Arabidopsis thaliana: one gene and its partners. The protein of the gene in region 3 interacts with the protein of the main gene of each other region in a pairwise test. Each region holds a gene or a part of one and is shown on either strand. Other genes may lie near its edges. The genes, in order: AT5G38720, AT5G55100, AT4G02720 and AT2G46250.

What was found.
Region 1: the proteins of AT4G02720 (region 3) and AT5G38720 interact in a two-hybrid assay, tested with the Arabidopsis thaliana proteins (one study listed by BioGRID).
Region 2: the proteins of AT4G02720 (region 3) and AT5G55100 interact in a two-hybrid assay, tested with the Arabidopsis thaliana proteins (one study listed by BioGRID).
Region 4: the proteins of AT4G02720 (region 3) and AT2G46250 interact in a two-hybrid assay, tested with the Arabidopsis thaliana proteins (one study listed by BioGRID).

What each region holds. Positions count from the first base shown.
Region 1 is NC_003076.8:15,507,684-15,512,405, forward strand, and holds AT5G38720 (ribosomal RNA-processing 7 protein), read right to left. Parts: upstream 2,742-4,722; 5' UTR 2,668-2,741; coding exon 2,568-2,667; intron 2,506-2,567; coding exon of another isoform or gene 2,485-2,505; coding exon 2,392-2,484; intron 2,294-2,391; coding exon 2,147-2,293; intron 2,059-2,146; coding exon 1,948-2,058; intron 1,639-1,947; coding exon 1,510-1,638; intron 1,385-1,509; coding exon 1,287-1,384; intron 1,194-1,286; coding exon 980-1,193; intron 820-979; coding exon 734-819; 3' UTR 513-733; downstream 1-512. Other genes in the region: AT5G38730 (Tetratricopeptide repeat (TPR)-like superfamily protein), read left to right, coding at 3,218-4,722.
Region 2 is NC_003076.8:22,360,555-22,366,771, forward strand, and holds AT5G55100 (SWAP (Suppressor-of-White-APricot)/surp domain-containing protein), read right to left. Parts: upstream 4,271-6,217; 5' UTR 4,111-4,270; coding exon 3,840-4,110; intron 3,682-3,839; coding exon 3,521-3,681; exon of another isoform or gene 3,073-3,520; coding exon 2,338-3,072; intron 2,215-2,337; coding exon 847-2,214; 3' UTR 743-846; coding exon of another isoform or gene 727-742; 3' UTR 562-726; downstream 1-561.
Region 3 is NC_003075.7:1,203,538-1,207,894, forward strand, and holds AT4G02720 (Ras-induced vulval development antagonist protein), read right to left. Parts: upstream 2,356-4,357; 5' UTR 2,277-2,355; coding exon 1,008-2,276; 3' UTR 552-1,007; downstream 1-551. Other genes in the region: AT4G02725 (spindle pole body-associated protein), read left to right, coding at 2,518-2,789, 3,316-3,457, 3,670-3,753; WDR5b (Transducin/WD40 repeat-like superfamily protein), read left to right, coding at 4,222-4,357.
Region 4 is NC_003071.7:18,989,096-18,993,905, reverse strand, and holds AT2G46250 (myosin heavy chain-like protein), read right to left. Parts: upstream 2,736-4,810; 5' UTR 2,521-2,735; coding exon 2,230-2,520; intron 2,150-2,229; exon of another isoform or gene 1,954-2,149; coding exon of another isoform or gene 1,936-1,953; coding exon 1,819-1,935; intron 1,704-1,818; coding exon 705-1,703; 3' UTR 535-704; downstream 1-534. Other genes in the region: BAG6 (BCL-2-associated athanogene 6), read right to left, coding at 4,079-4,810.

The DNA of each region.
Region 1 (4,722 bases), on a different chromosome or scaffold from region 3:
CTGAAATCGGAGATGGAGATGGTAAATTGATACCTTCAGTAAAGAAAAGATTAACTGATTTCTAAGAGCAATCGATTACTGTTGATGGGAAGACTATTTTTTTATAGATATAAATAGTCATCGGAAGTTTGGAGGAGAAGAAGTGGAAGAGGTGGAGATCGTGGAGATCGTGGAGATGAAGAAGAAAAGGGTTTTGAGAAATAAAAAAAAAAGTTTTATAAAAAGTACACAAGATATTTTTTCCAATTTTATTAATTAAAAAATGAATTAGCAAAATCTTTCGTGAAAATGAAAGAGTAAAAAATTGGTACTAAGCTGATGTGTCAATCAGAGAATGCATCAGTTTTTGCTAAAATGACTGTTGATTTAGTATTATTAGATTTGTGTCATTCTAGTTAACTACAAAATTAGGGTGTTAATCTAGTTATTAATTTGTATATTTGTGTCGATCTTGGTAATTTTCAGAACCTTTAAATTGGCATTTCTCTACAAAAATATTAAATTAGAGTGCCTCCTTTGTTATCTTATATACTATATCATTCAATATATTTGAATGGATTTTGATTCAATCTAATGTTCCAAGGGAAAAAAAATTATATTTCTTTTTGTTTATCAGCCTGAAATGGTCAATTACAAAATTTGATCATAAAACACATTCATGATATTGCTCATGAGCTTAATCAGAGTCTGAACCCACAAAGCTCATGTTTTTTCAAGCAGAATGTGTTCTTCCTTAGAAAGGCTTAAACCTACGAGCAGCTCGAAGTTGTTGTATCCTCTTCTTGTCTTCCTCGAACTTACTCTGAAGCGCCAAGAGTTCTGTCCACAAACAATAAAACACAAAACCAAGAATCAATTCATCAGAATCAGGGCAGACAAATTGAAGGGCCACTTGTGTGACTAGGGCTGCATATAAAAACCGACCCGAGCCAAAACTGACACAAAACACGTTTGAGGATATAGAAAAGCCAGGGCTTACCATTGCGTTGTGCATCTCGCCTTTGGAAACGGTAGAAACCATGAGCGACAGGCTCACTCTGTTTCTTTTTAGCGATCTTATCCTCCAAAGCAGCCTGAGAAAAAGATCCAACGGCTGTTCCGGTTTCAGATTCTGTTGTCTTTTTCCTTCCTTTGTGATGCACGACCACAGTCCATCCACCTTCTGCAGCTTTAGCTTCTTTGTCTTGTTTCTCCTGTTCAACACACATGACAACATTAGACAAAAACACGATAGTCACTTAGACAATAGACATGAACACTTCAAAATATAGGATGACGAGAAGAACCTGTTCAAGGCGTTCTTCATGAGCAGTCATGAAGTCATCGATTCTCTTTTGGAGCTCGTCTAAACCAGGTCTACCCTCATAGTAATCACTAACCCACTCTGCAGTTTAAAAGAGGACTTATCAAATTAAGGAAGAAACAGTTTCAAGAGTGTTCATGCTTATCTAATCATATGCAGCTAGCTAATAATGGAAGAAACAGTAATCATTTTTGTTTCATCCATACTTTTCATTCCCCTTGTGCAATCCTCATCGCCTGAAGAAATTTGATAAACATCTTCCTCCTCTTCAATTTTGTTCTCTTTCTTAGAGGTCATGTCCATCTTTTTCTTCTTATTTGATTTCTTAAACTTGCCTACAAGAAAAAATTTACTTTATTGAACAAGATGATGGAGTTCTGAAGTCCTTAGACTCGCCTACAAAAAACAATCTACTTCATTAAACCAGCTCTGAACTACCGGTTTCTTATTTCAGTTCCATTACAGCCATGTCAAACATAAATAACATTCATAAGAACCACAGATTCAGAGTTAGATAGACAGTAAAGTTCACATTCTGCTCAAAGAAAATATTATATAAAGACTTAAAACTAGCTAAAGTTCCTCATGCAAATGATTCAGAGAACTAACATAAGACAACCAAAACATGGTAATGAACTACTCACTTTCTCTTTTCAGATCTTCGACTGAAGATCTAGTTATTTCCTCGGCCTTCCTTTTCTTCTTAGTCTTGTTCATTTTGCCCTTCTTTTCTTTTACTTTCTCAGTTGAAATAGCTGTAACAAGAACCAGAGATACTAAACTCAATACCAGAATCTAACAGCTCAGTAATAGATTTCATCTGCCAAAAACAAAAGAATTCACCTTCCAGAATCGGTTCGCTTATATCAACATTGCCTACTTTCTCTTTTCTCTTCTTCATCTTCCCACTCAGCTTACCATCAGCTGGAGAGCTTTTTATTTCCTTACCCTTCTGAATCTTCTTTCTATTGGGTTTCTCACTTGATTTAGCTGGTAAGGAATAATAAACAAGATACTATACTCAACATCATAACACATCTTAAAACACTATAAAACACTTCTAAATCCATCAAAGCCAAAACTTTCACCTTGAAGCTGTGCAGCCTGAGGATCCTCGCTTAATTCGACATTGCTCACTTTCTCATTCTTCTTCCTCTGAATTTTTTTCCCAACAGTTTCTTCTGCATTGATTTTATCCGTCACTTCAATTAGACAAACAATAATTTGCATAAGCAATTTACTTCTTCTGCTTCACAAGATTAACCTTTGTAATTAAGTTCAAGGCCATTCCAATTAAAGCTCTCAACTTTCGAAATCAAATAAGTTACCTCTAAGAACACAATCTTAGTATACACAACAACCATAGTTAGGTCTTTTCGGTTCTGTAATGAAACCTCATAAATCAATTAAGTAAGAATATAAACGCGAGAAAATTAGGCCTACCTTTAGGGAGATTACTCTTCTTCAGCTTTCTCGTCTCCTTCATCTTCTTTCTATCGCGTGAGAAGCAAAAACTCTGTCGGCGATTGTCGGCGTCGACGCTCTCGGAAAAATTAGGGATTAGTCAGGCCACGACCATGTAAATTAGGGTTTTTGCTTTTTGTGAGGTTTTGGACTGAAACAGATACAAGGGTAAAGTTGTTAATATCAGCAACACGAGAGGACATATACGTATTCTTGACTAAACCGGTCTAAAATTGGGTTCAGTTCGATTTATTACGTATTTTCTCTCGGGCCGTTTCCCGGATATTCCAAAACAATCGATTCGCTTCCGGTTTTGAATTCAGTCCTTTATCGGTTAATTGGTAAATAATCTGGTCTGGTTCATCTACTGGAGAAATTCAAACCGGTTTAGGCCTTCTCTTTATCGCCGTTGCTCTTCTCTGTTACTCCTACAACACTTGAGGAACAACAATGGTGAATTTGTTGTCAGCAAATCGAGAAGCTTTGATTGCACAAAGCATCTGTGCAACAGTATTGAAAGGAAACTGGAAAAATATTCTGAAACACAAAGTTGATTCTGGGTTATTGAAATCAGCGATAACCACTCAGGTAATCTCTGAGCTTTCTCTGTTTTCTGGTTATGGTGGACCTTCTCTTTCATGGAGTTTCTTTATCTGGACCGATTCTTTACCAAGTAGCAAACATAGTTTACAATCATCATGGAAAATGATTTTGATTCTCACAAAACACAAGCATTTCAAAACTGCACACCAACTGCTCGATAAATTGGCTCAGAGAGAGCTTTTGTCATCTCCTCTGGTTTTGAGATCTTTAGTTGGTGGTGTTTCTGAAGACCCAGAAGATGTATCTCACGTCTTTAGCTGGTTGATGATATATTACGCTAAAGCCGGGATGATCAACGATTCGATTGTGGTGTTTGAGCAGATTAGGAGTTGTGGATTGAAGCCTCATTTGCAAGCTTGTACTGTGTTACTAAATAGTCTGGTGAAGCAGAGATTGACTGATACTGTTTGGAAGATATTCAAGAAGATGGTTAAGTTAGGTGTTGTTGCTAACATTCATGTGTATAATGTATTGGTTCATGCTTGTTCTAAGTCTGGTGATCCCGAGAAAGCTGAGAAATTGTTGAGTGAGATGGAAGAAAAAGGTGTGTTTCCTGATATCTTTACCTATAACACGTTGATCTCTGTGTACTGCAAAAAGAGTATGCATTTCGAGGCTTTATCTGTGCAAGATAGGATGGAGAGAAGTGGTGTTGCTCCTAATATTGTCACTTATAATTCATTCATACATGGGTTTAGTAGAGAAGGTAGAATGAGAGAGGCCACAAGACTGTTTCGGGAGATTAAAGACGATGTTACAGCGAATCATGTTACTTATACTACTTTGATTGATGGATATTGTAGAATGAATGATATTGATGAAGCTTTGAGGTTACGTGAGGTAATGGAGTCAAGAGGGTTTTCTCCTGGAGTTGTGACATATAATTCGATTTTGCGTAAGTTATGTGAAGATGGAAGAATAAGAGAAGCTAACCGGCTTTTGACTGAGATGAGTGGAAAAAAGATTGAACCTGATAATATCACCTGCAATACTTTGATCAACGCATATTGCAAAATCGAAGACATGGTATCTGCAGTGAAGGTCAAGAAGAAGATGATTGAATCAGGGCTAAAACTGGATATGTATTCATACAAAGCATTGATTCATGGGTTTTGTAAAGTGTTGGAACTGGAAAATGCAAAGGAGGAACTGTTCTCTATGATAGAGAAAGGCTTCTCTCCTGGATATGCGACCTATTCTTGGCTCGTGGATGGATTCTATAACCAGAACAAGCAAGACGAAATCACAAAACTCCTAGAGGAGTTTGAAAAAAGAGGTCTTTGTGCTGATGTTGCTCTATACAGAGGATTAATAAGAAGGATTTGTAAGTTAGAACAGGTGGATTACGCCAA
Region 2 (6,217 bases), on a different chromosome or scaffold from region 3:
AAGAAAGAGTTTACGATGGAAAAAGAAAGGTTACATCCAACAAAGCATTAGCCAATGAAATTGTAGAACATAGATAGAAAAGTCTAAAAAGATAGATTCGATCCCAAAAAGAAGTTTTATTGAATAATATTATTGCCTTTTCAATCGAGAAGAGAGGCTAAGTAAGGTTCGACCGATAAGGGTAAACTTCAAGTAAATGCACTATGAGTCAGTCTATGACATTGACAAACAATTTATATCTTCTTTGTAGAGTTTCTTTCTTTATTACGTCAACAAAGTGAAAAAAAAAACTCACTCTTATCTTCACCCTTACTTCCAAGCATCTCAAAAGACGTTTTTTACATAATAGCCAGATTTGTGCTGAACACTTTCGTCGATGAGCGGCACCATTTCAGAAGTTAAAGTACGTCGTACACCTTACGTGGGGATGATAATGATGTATGCAAAAAACGTCTCATAAGTGTGAATCAAGTTTCTTTTAGTAATATTGTAATGCAAATTGGCTACTAAATAAATTTCTATGATAAGGTCTGATGATTAACTGATTAACAAAAGCACAGATTTTTCTTTAAAAGGTTTATAGTTTGCAAATGCACAGATTAAAAAGGTTTCTTTAAAAGGTCTTTTTCAGAGTAATTTCGTAAATAGTTTGCAAAATACATTAAAATTTAATATTACAACTCTTCTTCTCGTAGGCAACATCGGTGACCTTTATGCTTCAGATGCTCACCGACCATCTCCCCTGAAAACCGAACAAACCCGCTAATCGATCAGACCCAATCATTGACATTGTCAACTTAATACTAGTAGACACCTAAATAGAACTAGAAAGTCTTCAAGAGTCGTTCAGTTAGAAGAAACGTACAAGGTATCAGCTAACATGGCACGGATTTTGGCTCTTAGCTCATCCGAAACTTGAGATGGTTCATTTTGCAGATACGGGATGTTATCTCCAGGAGATGCTTTAAGATCAGACTGATCTGACTTTGAAACAGTCTCCTCTTCCACTGTTTTCTCATCTTTCTTTATACGTTTACTAGACTTGTGACGATGACCATGCTCAACGTCTGAAGAGTCCTCGTGCTTGCGTCTACTGGATCTGTGTCGGTGGTGATGATGTTCATCATCAGATGAATCACGGTGCTTTTCATGCTTCCTGGATCTGTGATGATGGCTACGCTTGTCCTTAGAATAATCAACGTCTTTGCTATGCTTACTGGATCTGTGTCGGTGCTCACCCTCATTATCAGAAGAATCATAAAGCTCATGCCTATCTGAAGATTTGCTGTGTCTGTGTCTATGACGCGAACGACTGTGATACTCATCATCTGAGGAGCTCTCATGCTTGTGCTTGTCCCGAGAATGTCTGTCCTTGGAAGAGTATCGTGTCTTATGTTTATGCCGTTTTCTACTACATGAATGCTTCTTATCAGTCTTGGTTTCTTCTGTAACTTCGTCCATGCTGCTCTCTTCCTCTTCTCCTTGTTCCATCTTACCATCTTCATCTCTCTGTGATCTCGAACGGTAATTCCTCTTTGATCGTCTTTCACTGTTACCATCATCCGCTAGTTTTGACTCAGCTACATATGGAATCGAGCTACTGTCTCTTTCTTTGGCAGCCTTAGCACCTAATCCAGAAATCCCAGAGTCCAACGGTTCGACTGATATGCTTCGCGACGGTTCAGCTTGTTGAACTGGCTGCGCATCAGGTTTTAACTTGGCCACAAACATTTTTGCACGTTTCAATCTTTCTGCCTTCAACTTCTGCTCTTTAGACAAGCCTGCTTCAGAAGAATCAGCTTCACTAGCAGCAGTCGAGCCAGAGAGTGATTGACCTGTAGATTTGGCCAAATCAGGGGACTTAGATGAAGGGTAACTCACATCATTTCCAAGGGTCTGAGAAGTCTCATCCATGGGTTTGCCTGTTAGAATCCCCAACTGGGGATTCCTTATGCCTCTTCTAGCCGCTTGAAGAATAGCAGCAGCAGTATTCGCATCCACATTGACCCTCATCTGCGGTTGGACAGGCTTGAATGGTTCATTGTGCAACTCGACCTTTGGTTTGTCACTAACCATTTTTAGTTTCTCTTTCTTGGCAGAATCATCTGGTAAAACACTCCCAAACCCGTGTTTGCTATCTTTTACAGCATTGCCCATCTTCTCTTGCTTCACGTCTTCTTTTCTGATAATAACGCCTTTGTCACCTGATTTTAACTGCATATGAAATCAACCAACGTTTTACATTTTAGTGAAAGTTACAATCACAAGGTTTAAAAAGCACGTGAAAACACACCAAATTTGTAGCAGGAACATTTTAAGAACTTGAAACAGAATTACCTCTTCGGCTTCTTGGAGAACCTTCCGATAATATGCATGGTATAAGCTAGATGGACGTAAGAATGGAAACATCCCGTATTTCACATCCTGTGCAACAAGAGTAGCCTCTAGTTCTTTCCCGTTCTTTTGAATGAAGTCTACTATCTTATCAATCACTCTTTTCATCTCAGTAGTCGGCTCCACAATCTGCAGTTCAAGCTTGGGTTGCGACTTATCAGACGTCACAAGTTTTTCTGTATTGATCTGCTTCTTCTCTACAACATTTACTGCGCTGACAGAGGGATTTCTTTTTATGAAAGATGCATGATCATTCAACGGCAGAGAATGCTTAGAGGCAATCTTTGCAGCTCCTTTCGACCCTTCAGGTCCATTGGAATCAGTTACCTTAACACCATCATCACCTTTGGCGGACTCACTTGTTTTGGAGTCGTTTGCAGACTCTTCGTTAGCATCTTCATCTTCTACAGTCCCATAAACCGAACCAAGCAATGACAAAGCTCCACCATCCTTCTCACTTTCGTTCTTTTTCTCTTCTACAGAAGACTTTCCTGTCAAAAGCTCTTGATGGTCAACAAGAAACCTAAAGTAAAGGTGAAGATGATGGTCTGGCATTAGGAACCCAAATGTAGGGTTGTCTCCTTGTTTGACTCTCAAGACAATTTCAGATTGCCCACCGTGTTTGCTTACAAAACTTGAAGTCCTAGTGATAATCTGATGTAATTTCTCAGTTGGAGGCTGAAAGAAGAGAGAAAAAAAATATACAAGAAAAAATTAGTAATGTGAAATATGATGAATGACACCTTTGGCAACTCGCAGGTATATATACATAATAAAACCTCACATAAGTATCGAGAACCATAAATTGCAAAATTCAGAACTGTATAGAAATGCATCATCTGGTGTGCAATCAGTTTTAAGGTTCTTGGTAAGTCATGAATTTTTATCATCTTAATCCCACCTGCACTGCCCCTTGTCATGGCAGCAAAAGGAAACAAGGTGCATGTGAATGACAACCTTAGACAACTCCATCTCTTCTCCGAGCATCTGAAACTTAGACATAGTAGTCCTTAGAATAACAAATGCACCTTTCAGATGTTTACGTGGCCAATATCAGTTTAAGTACCAAATAAGTTAGCAAAAACTAGCATACTGCTAAAGGGAACAATCTAAAGCAATAACTTACCAGGTTTTGACGTAAGTAATCAGGCACGGGGAAAGGCGGGTGAAATCCAGATTCCATATCAGCAGCATTTTTCTGGTCATTGACATCACTAGAGCTTCCATATGAAAAAGAGACAGCACGATAACCATCCGCATTTGTATTTGCTGAATCCTCATTCATATCTGGAGAGTAAAGCAAATCCAAAGGGCAAACAAATTAAGTTTCGATCTGAATTTTTCGTAATCATTCTCTAGAACAGTTTTATGTCTCTAACATAGCTAGTTCGAGTCTCTCTACCATATAGATTAACGGAGATTTCTACGGAGTTCATCATCCTTACCGTGTTCATCATCATCCGACGGAGATGGAGATTCCGACGGTAAATCTAGATAACGCTCGTGATCGAGCTCCGATTCCAAGTCAGCATCGTTTGAATTCGGACGACGGCGTTTGATACGTGGAGGAGGAGGAGAAGAGAGGAGATGACGAACATCGTAGCGGTCAATAAAGAGGCTGTTCCAGTCAACGAGCGCCGTCGGAGAGTTGACAAACGTTGCCATCGAATCATCGTCGAAAAAGAGAGCGTGACGACCAACAATCTCTAGATCCATTGTGTGATTCTTCTAAAGCAATGGAGAATTGGGATTTGGGGAAGAGGCTAGGGTCTGTGTAATCCGTAATTTGGAACCGGATGTTCCAAATTCGTGATTGACCCAAAGATGTGATGACTTACAAAAGAGATCAAGTCGACTAAATGACGTCGTTTATAAGACTTTTTTACTTGCCGTTTGAAAAGTAATAAAACCACACGCATTTGGGAGAAAATAACTAACAACGACGTGCATTCTTTATGTTTTTGCGTTTTCAACCCTGCTTAAGAAAGTTTATATTTTTTCCCCATAACCTTAACTTTAATAAATGTAAGCCACCCTAAGAGTGAAAAAGCAGTGAAATCTCCAAATTTAAAGTGCTTCAACATTTGTGATTTCATTGGAGAATTTTGCTCAATCTAGTATCTGCCTCGTCTTGATGTGACGGTTATCCACATTGAGTTTTTACTTTGATGAAAATATTATGAGCTCTCTTTCTTTCTTTTTTAGGTAACTTATGAACCCTCTTTCTTTGTCAGGGCTTTCAAGCTATCTCCTCATGATACAATGGTTAAGTGATTTAATATTCTCTCTATATAATTTTTGTAATTTTATGCATCTATCTAACCATGTTTGAACAACCTGTATGGCACATTGTTTTCAAAAGTTTCGAAAGCAATTACTCTGTAGAAATAATACTAATTAAACTAACGTTATCTAATTAAACTAACGTTAATGTAAAACGACTTTGCGTGTGGCTTAATAGTTAATGCAACAGAAAGATATCGTAGAGAAACAATAAGATTATCGTATAGGTCGGAAAATGACCAATAAGCAACAAGGGAATGGTTTTGACTTTTTTGACGTAAAGTTTATACATTGTTTAACAAATTGGAGGAAAGCGTTGACCTCTCTCTATTGCTTTCTTCAACACCGTATATAATATTTGTGCCTTGTGGACGTCTTTGACTGGTTTATTCAAGAATTTTCTTCGATAGTTCGATCGTTGGTGTATAGAGCTATATTAGTGTAAGCTACTATAGGGACATTCAAATTTTATATAACTGTTTCAAAAACTAAATATAGATTGTACACATTTATGCAAAAACATACATTTAACAAAGCAAGTTGTATTAGTTTAATTAATGGTCATCATCGTACTAATGGACATCATAATTCGGATTCCATTACACATATTTATATCAGGAATCACGGGTTTGTTTGTAACTTAAAATAAAGTGGAAAGATCTATATACCTTGTATTTTCATTTGTAATGTGAGATATTCATTGTCTCGGACATATCACTACAAAACGGACTATATACATTGGCGGACGCAAGTGTATAAGTACTGGGGCACGTGCCCCATGCAAGATTTGATAATTTTGAAGTTTGTTGTGCAATTTGTATTGTAGATGAAAGAATTCGTTTGTTGTGCCCCATGTTAGAGTGACTTTTTTTCTAGTCAGTTGGTTATTACTCATTAATTTTACTATTTTCAAGTAATAAATGTTTTCAGTATTTAACTTATTTTTACTTTATTTATCTTTTTCTATAACTGTTTGAAGGAATTATGCTAATATAAGGTACTGCCAATGTTGATTGACACTTCAAAAAATTTTCTTCCATTTACATGTCTTTTAAGAAATGTTCATATTGTACTTTATTTTAAAAATTTATAAATATGTTGTGCCTCGGGTTAATTATGGTTCTAGATCCGCCACTGACTATATATGTATACTATGAGAAATCATATGTCGGGTAATTATACTTGGAACTATGGTACCATATTAGAAGATTAGAGATAGAATGAAAAAAAGAGTTGAATTACTCCATGGAAAAGACTAAAGAGAACGGAGTTGTACATCATTTATGTAAGAGATTGTCTGATATGAACAGAAGACTAGTGACGATGGAAGGAACTTAGCCTTACAAAGCTTGCTCATGTGTTTCTAAAGTAAAAACTTTTATTTATTGACTTATATAGATTATTTTCATATTATTCTATTGTTACAAGTTACAATGTAAAAATGGCCTTTCATATATTAAATTATATAATCGTGGTTGATTGGGCGTATGCGGATCGAGAACTTTAGAATTCAAGTTAAAGCAAGTGTCCATTAGAGGCA
Region 3 (4,357 bases):
TCATAAATTAATTTAATTATCATTCGTTTCGTGCATGAGAAGAGGACCTTTACATGACATTTCTTTGATAATTTTTTTGTTTTTAAATACTATTTTTAAGCTTTGAATAGTAATACGAAAATGCTAATCTCCTCTAAATTGAACAGATGTCGTTTTCTTTGTCATTCAATTCTTAACCAAAATCATTTTGCTTCTTTGAATGATTTATATGTTATTATTTATGAAACGAATAATAGATTATGGACTAGGTACTTGGTAGGGTCTTCTATTGAGATAGTGCATTTATTGAGAACAGATTCAGACATTGTATAGTTCCACAAAAGTGGAATCATAAACTATAATTGGAACCCTTGCAGGTAATTTACCAATAATATGATCTGCCTGCAAATTCGGATATTATTGCAAATTTTATCTGCCTCCAAATTCCGAAATTATTGCACTTCACAATTATAGAGATCCCCAATAATATATATAAGTACTTGTTTTGTTTCACAGTTCTAAAAATAGAATGATGATAATAATGGTGACAATGATAACATTGATGATGATATGACTGGATTCTTAACAGACAAACGCAATGATATGAATACAGAGGGAGGAATGCATAATCTGTGAAGCTCATTAAAGGACATTATTCGAAAATACAGTGGTGGGCTCAAAGCGGATATCCTAAATAATTGATTGTTCTACAATCTCAGAACTAAGTGAATGCCCTGCAAAATTCAATCATCGAACATGACCTAAGGTAAATGCACAAGAACGGTTGCAGATCCTCAGTGTCAGAATCTATTATCTTTGACACACAAACACAATCATGTGATACATAGCAGATTAACGCATAAACTATGAAGCTCATTAACGGATACATAGCAGATTAAAGCATAAACTACGAAGCTCATTAACGGGCAAGTAGCAAACAGCAGTATCTATGATGCAAATAAGGAACATTCAACAAGATAAAGCATAAGATGAGTACCCACATAACAGAAGCAGGAAGCCAAGCAAAATCAATCATCATCTTCTTCAGTCTTTCCAGCACCGAAAGGGTCATGATTTGGCCCCACCTCTTCTCCCATATGGCGCTGCACAAGCCGCTGCAGATCAGACATAACCTTAGCCTCGCGCTTCGCCTTCTCCTCGTAGTTAAACATGGCCAATGCCCGTTTGTCTTCAGCACTGTAAACCTGGTTTTCTTTTCTAATACGAATAGCATTCATCCTTTGATGCCTACTTCCACTCATCACATAACCAAGATCCTCAAACTTCTGAATCTCTTCAGCGTTAAGACCCACTTCTCCTCTACGTGGGATACGTTTACCTTGCTGAACATACTGTGCAATGGCGTCTCCTTCACCGGGTCTTAAAGCACCACCATAACTGATGTGACCTTCAGCTTTAGGTAATGGCATTGGACCAACATCACCTTCTTCTTCCTCTTCATCAACAGCTGAAGATTTCTTCTTTAATTCAATCATCTCTTTGAACTTCTTCAACTCTTCTTCATCAAGTTCTAGCTCAGTGTTCTTCACCGTTTCGTCTACTTGCATCTTCGAATCTTCCTCAGTACCATCGCTGTCACTCCCTGACTTCGTCTTCTCTCCCTTGCTTCGTTTTGAACTAGAATCCGAAGATTTCTTCCGCCTCTTGCTCTTTGACTTGGTATCTTCTTCCTCCCCAGACGAAGAAGCACTAATCTCAGCTTTACTATCTTCATCGCTGCTCTCATCAGAGTCACTGTATTTCGTCTTTCTCCTATGACTTCGCTTTTTCCTAAAACTACGGCTGCTTCTACTCTTCTTCCTCTTAGAAGAACTCTTCCTCCTTCGTCTCCTATCTTCCTCTTCCGAATCACTCTCACTCCCTTCGGATTCACTATCGCTGTCATAAGATCTCTTTCTCCTGCGCTTAGACCTCGAGCTCTTACTCTTCCTCTTCCTAGATCTCAAACCATCAGATTCAGATTCCGAGTCAGATTTACCTTTCCTTTCTTTCCCTTTCGAATTATCATCTCTTTCGCCGCCGTTCTTGTCCTGAATCTCGTCGGCGTTCTCATCGGAATCCTCGTTCTGATCTCTAGGTGGACTCGGTGTGTTCTCCCAAAAGCAGAACTTGGCTGATTTCCTCATCTTAAGCCGTTTCTGCCTCCTATACTCTTCGTGACTCAATCCCTTCAATTCTTCATCGGAATCTGAACCAGATCGTCTTCCGTTTCGATAATCTCGATCCAAATAGCCATGATTCTTCCCAAATCTCCTCGGAAGCGAGTTCATCGTCATTCTCGAATCCCTAATTCACTCCGACGACGACAATGAAGAAAACAAAATCTAAGCAGCTGTCTGATAAATTAGGGCTTTGATTCATATACAGTATCTGCGCCTTTTTACTTATTGGGCCCTTAACGAATAGGCCCAATATTTATCATTATTCACCACTGAAAATCATGTTTTGATTTTACACAAAGCACCCCACATTTTAATTAGAGTCAATCGAGTCCTCTATCCTTATCGTCGTCTTCAGATGGCAAGTCTCTCCATGTCCGCCGTGTCTCTGTCGCCGTTTCGGCCTCAAACAGAGAATCTTCTTTCAAAACTCAGTTTCCGAACGAACTTACACTCGTTCAATCTCAAACCAATAAGGATTAGTACGAAAGTTAGAAGTTTTGGTGGGAATCGGAGAGAGCCGAAGGATTCAAGATTTGTCGATGAAAAAGGCGTAGTTGATGACATGGAAGGTTTCTTAGACAATCTCTCTCTCGAATACGACTCTGTTTGGGACACTAAACCCTCTTGGTAAATCTCATTTAAGTTCCCAACAATTTTATTTCAAGTAGTTTGGATTTGGTCCTAAGACTTATGAGGAATCGTATTTGTTGGTTGTGAATATGGGATTATAGCTTAGATAGAGTCTTAAGTTCACTTTTAAGTGGACCAATCCTTAATCTTTATTAGCATTTTCAGTGATTTATGCCTGCCCAAGAACTTTTTTGAATCATATATGAAGCTATATATTTATTGATGCTACTTAAAACAAGACTTACCCCATTACAGTTTCATGATTGTGTGTTGTGGTTTAGAAGATAGAAAGAAAAAGTTTGAATCTTTTGGTTAGGAAGATAGTGAAGAACCAAAATACAGATTATGTAATGGTAATTGGGTTAAGAAGGGTTTAACATTTCGACCTCAGCATCTACAGCTTTGAATATCTATTGATCTGGTGTGTATTTGCAATCAAGAACTTTACGGTTCTTCTTAGACGTTTTCAGGGCCTAGTGTTCTTCCGTATGGTTTTGAATAAGCAACTGGCTATGTTTCTCAGGTGTCAGCCATGGACGATAATGTTAACGGGTCTATCAATAGTGGCATGTAGCTGGGTAATACTACACTCGGTCATAGTTTCATCGCTTGCGGTTGGTGTAATTGGTGCTTGGTGGTACATATTCCTTTATAGCTACCCAAAGGTATGATTTTCCCTTCCATCATCTAACAACCTCTCCTTTTCATTCCCTTACTAAAGAAATGTTCGTAGCTCTAATTTACTAAGTCTAAGTTAAAGTAAAAATCCTGTTTAAACATCTTCAGACAATGCTAGTTTCTATAATCTTAGTGAACAAGACTTTACTTTGGTCTTGTCTTTGAGATTCTGGTGGTTTTTTCGTGTACTTTGGTTCAGTCGTATTCAGAAATGATTGCTGAAAGAAGGAAACGAGTAGCTGATGGTTTTGAAGATATTTACGGCAAAAACAAGCCTTCATAGGATCTTCTCAATGTTCAAAATTACATTCGTTTCTTGCATAAATCTTCCCTTCTGTTGTGTGTATAATATAACCATCATCTATGGATTTATCTCAATTTCATTCACAGATGTTTGGATACATAAATCTTGATTTCAGAGTCCTCTAATGTAGTGGGCATTAAAATCGAATTGAACCGATTATACAAACCGAAATTAACCCAAATATACCGAAACCTCATTACTGAAACCAACCGAATAAAGTGCCTTCGAACTAAATAAACCAAACGAACCGGACCAATTTTAGTTCAACAAAATCGACAAATTCAAATCGAACCGAACCGAGCCGAAGAACCACCAATACGAGAAATGAGGAATGAAGGGTAAAAATGTAATTCCCAAGAGGTCATGGTCAACGGAATGTATATATATGTAACGGTGAGAGATTCATTGAGATCATCTCCACTCTGCTAAATCCGACGAGAGACGACGATGCCAAGCGGTGGTAACGGAACAAGTAACGGAGTCGCTAACGCGAATTCCACCGGTAACGCAGGAACAAGCGGAAACGTTCCGATATATAAGCCATACCGTCACCTGAAAACCCTAGAAGGTCACACGGCGGCGA
Region 4 (4,810 bases), on a different chromosome or scaffold from region 3:
TATTTGTTTAAAATTTTATGTCATGTATGTTTTAAATTTTATGAGTTGTAATAACTATTAAGTTTTTTAAAATTATAATGTTTCTATTTTTTTTTTCAAATTTTCTTTTTAAGAACTCCAAGTTAAGATTCCACCATTGCATATTGCCTAAATTTCAATCTCTTAACCAAGTTTTTAACTTCAGAATTTTCAAAATCAATTATAAAAATATTCATAAAAACTATATTAAAATTATGCTAAGAAACTACCATTAATGATGCTCTAAAACAGATAGAGTTTGGTCAATCGCTATTACCGACACATCTTTGACTTGGCTTTTTTTTTTTTTTTAACGTTTATTAATCACCAATCAGTCTTCTTAAAACTTGTGGAATTTTTGATGACCAAAGATTTGAACTAATCGGTTAAATTGTCTCTTCTTTAAGTTACATCTTTTTGTTCTTAATTACAACTGCCAAAAATAGTTGACCGGAGTTGTGTTCTTTTTTTTTGTCGAACCGGAGTTGTGTTCAATGTCAATATATGTGAACTGTTGACAAAATTAGCTTTTTCCTTTTTTCATGTGAAATTGGTTTCTGTCACTGGGACAATTAAAATATTTAGTTTTTTTAACGACTAACGAGCATTAATATTAACCACAACCAAATAATTAATCCAACATACATGAGAAGACACGAGTTAATTATTTGCTCGAACCGGAATTATCACTCTGGTTTCAAAGAAGAACGTAAACGTCGACTTTCTACACGAGCTTCCATCAGCTTATCCTTGAGAGTACGATGATTATCTTCCCTGATCATCACATTCACATTTCTCGGATGATTCTTCGAGAAAGTTCTAGACTTTTCTTGACTCTCATGATCATCAACGTTCCTTGGACTACTCTCTGGATGAATCTTATCTCCTTCCGAAGACATAGATAGATTAAGAACTTGGCCTGAGCTCTTCTTAAGCTGCAGTTTGTTATCTCTTCTTGTTCGCTTTTCAAGCCCTTCTTCGAGTTCCTTCAGGCAAACCCTTTGATGCATAGATACCGAATCATCTGGTTTTGCTCTCAAGCCACTTCCTTTACTTGACTGTGATCTACTCTTCTCCTTAGCTCGCAGAAGAAATGTTTTATCATCTTCCTCTAGCTTCATTTGTAATCTCTGGTCACTCCACACTTCTGCAATCTGCACAATTACTTTATCACTCACCGGTGACTTTTTGCCAATTCTTCTCACCTTATCTTCATAATCTTTCACCGCTTTTGCAAACTCATCGCAGAGATTTTCCACAACAACACGTTCCTGTGTCTCCTTTTCAAGGTCTTTCAAAGCTTTGGACAAACAATGCTTCGCTTCACAAAGCTCTCGTGTTAGCTTCCGGTGCAAAGTCTCTGACTCCTTTCTAACTTTTCTCTCATCATCTAACTCCCTCTTTATGGATCGAAACACATCTTTTACCTCTTCTTCTTCTTTTTTCTTCCTCAGTGGCCTATCGCTTAGCTTCTTCCGTTGCTGAACCTCCTTAATCTCGGCTCTACATTCATCCAACTCCATCTTTAAAGCTCTAACCAAAGACATATTAGCAGTATTCTGTTCTTCGAGACTCCATATCCGGTTTAGCACCTTGAGAAGCTTTGTAGAGGAACCCAAACCATAGCTTGCAGACTTAACCGCCGAAGAACCTGTCTGACTAAACGCTGGCTTACGCACCACAACCTACAAGCACATTAAGCCAACACACACCAAATCCAGCTCAAAACAAGATTGTTAAAAAGCATTCCTTGGTTAAATTTAAGAGTGAACAAAGAGCAAAAAACTTTGTTTTCTTCACCTGCAATGAACTGCTGCTGCTGCTGCAACTTGCAGGAGAGATAGGTTGCAACAGATCACCATTTCTATAATCATCAGTTGCTGCAATTTGCCTCCTCAAGCTAGCTCTGCTTGGTGGCTGCAAATTAAAACTCATATATAAATACTAAACACACTTACGAGCCAACTTTACGACCATGAGATTTGTCCAATGAAATTTGTGCATAGACGAGCAAAAGACCACATCATAAAGAACAATACTTTGAGATTTTCTCGGTGGAATTTGCGCAAAAATGAGATTTTTTCCGGTCGAATATACTCTAACCTCACCGTAAAGATCACAACTTTACGACCTATCAAAACAAGAAGACTAAAACCCTACATAAACCCGTCAAAAACATTCAAGCAAATCAAAAGCGCCAAAATTGTTTACATGATCGTGAAGCGGGCTACGGGAATGCGATTCCACATCTGAATCCCTTCGTCGACACCGTCGCAGCTCAATTCTTTGCCGGAATTGTTCAGTTTCCCACAAATCAGCACACAATTTCCGGACAGAGTCCTCCGAATTCGCCAAAAACTCCTTGGTCGCTCCGACTCGTGGCGGCGAAAACTCGAGCCGCCAGGTGGGTGGAGGAGTGGAAGGACCAGCTCTCCTAGTATAGCCCATGAAACTTCGTCTCAGCTTTTTCTCCATTTCTCCTTCTTCACACTCTCTCTCCATCTCTTTACTCGCTCTGTTTTCACCTCTGTTTCCACCTCTGTTTCCCTTAAGCTGTGGAAGGTTGTCTTCTTGGAGACAGTTGTGTCTCGACTCTCTCTGTTTCTTTCGTCTTTTCCTTAAAAATTCACAGATCACTTATTAATGGCTTATCCTTAAAATTTGTCCATCTTGCTTTATCATTTATTTATACAAAAACCCGAAAAACGTGATTTGTTGTTAAGTATGATTGTAATTCTTACTACTACAATTCTTTGCTTTTTAAAACAATAGTAGTATAATGTTACAACATCAAAAGCCTGTTACTCTCTCCCGACAAAGATTACGAGTTTACTCTGACTTTTTCTTCTTCCCAACAAAGCCATAGATTTTTATTTACTGCAAGGGGAAATATATCTCTCAGAGACAGAGGATGCGTGTGAGTGAACCTTTTTCACCTTTTACTATTTTCTTTTCTCCATGGAAATCAACCTATTTCTCCTATGTACATTTTGCGAACTTGTTAAAATAGTTACAGTAGAGGTGCAACCTTTTACTGTATATTTGGATCACAATAGTTACAGTAGTTAACATACTGCTACAATTGTAGAAATGACACTAATGAATAGAAATGAGAGTGTATATCATTTGTTTGGTTTAGATGAAATGTATTTCTAAGATAAGAAATTAACTTTTGATGGATGCACACAAGTGGGTGAAGATAATCCCTTGAATTAGTTAATTATGCTAGTAAATTTGGGGATTGAGAGTAGGCTAATAGAGTCATTATGAGGTTAAATGGGTGTTAATAAACGATTAAAATATAAATCATTCGTATCAGAAAATAACCATGCTTGAAGATTCCTGGTCCTTTCATGCTATAGTCTACAACTCCAAGGCTTTATTATGACTAATACTGACACCATTTCCTTTTTTTCAACCATAGATTAGGTGAGAATGAGATCATATCATTACTTGTTATTTCTCTTGCACATGTTAATCTTTGAGAATTTTAGTTGTTTGTAATGAGAAAGCACATAAGAGAGAGGTTACGGAGATGAGTGTAAATGGCGTTGGGACGTGAACGGGACCACAAGAGATGAATATTTGGCGGCTCAGAGACAACCTAACGTGACGATGAGAAAGAAGAAAACGAAGAGTGAGTTATGGCATGAAAAGGATCACTATGTCCGCACAAACCACACAATCATTCTCTTTCTTTCTCCCATAACAAATTTGAAAGATACAAATTTTAAATGTAATTAAAGTAATAATACATGAAATTTACACCTATAGCAAAAATTTGAAATAAATAATAAAAACATTTGAAATAACTAATGGGTTGATCATTGTATGGGCCTTATATAGTTATATATTGGGCCTTGACACAAAATTTAGTCGAATCTGTCAGAGCGAATGGGTCGTTTAAGGAGGTTATCCATGAACGTCGAAGAAAACAGAGAGGCAAATATTTGGATTTTCGTTAAGACAATTTTTGAGTTCTCGTTCTCTTTTCTGTACTCAATAGGATGGAGATGGATACAATATATGAGGAATTGAGACATATCAATGTTTATGGGGGTCATAATACGGCATCGGTTGGACTTACGGACATTGGTTTGCTTGCACGACGTCTGATCTGTGTCTTTTTCTTATGTGACAGTTTCTTCTCAAGGCTTTTGACCCGACTGGTTAATTTCGATATGACTTCTAGTTGTTCTCTGCCTGCCTTAACCAACGTCTCCATCGTTTCCTTGAATCGCTGGTTCTCCTCCATCAGCTTTTTGGTTTCTTTTGATATCCCAGGTTCAGTGATTTCCGGTTCCGGAGCCTGTTCGTTCAAAATAACTTCTGTCTCTAGAGGCTGTTCTTTCACAATGACTTCGGTCTCTGGAGACTGTTCTTTTTCATCTTGTGGCTCAGAAGTCTGTTGGCCAATGCCTTTGGAGTTGTTGGGTGAGTGATCAACTTCTGTTTCCTCCTGGCTCGCTGTTTTAGGGTCCATTGCAGTCATATTCCCTTCACGAGTATATGATGACGATGGATCTTGCGAAAGAGGCTGTGTTTCCTCGTCAATCACTCCAACAGGTAGCTCTGAGAGCTCGACATTTTTTTCTGAATGCAATACAATATCATCTTCTCCTTTTCGGTTTTCATTTTCTGATGAGTTGGTTTCGGCTTCAGAGACTTCACTAGCATTCTCCGGGTCCCGTATGGAGTTTGTTTCAGTCTCTTCCACCATTTGCGGCAATTCGTTTATTGGCTCCTCCAAACTTTCCACCACCATGGCTTTGTTTTCCTCTACGTTGGTCAC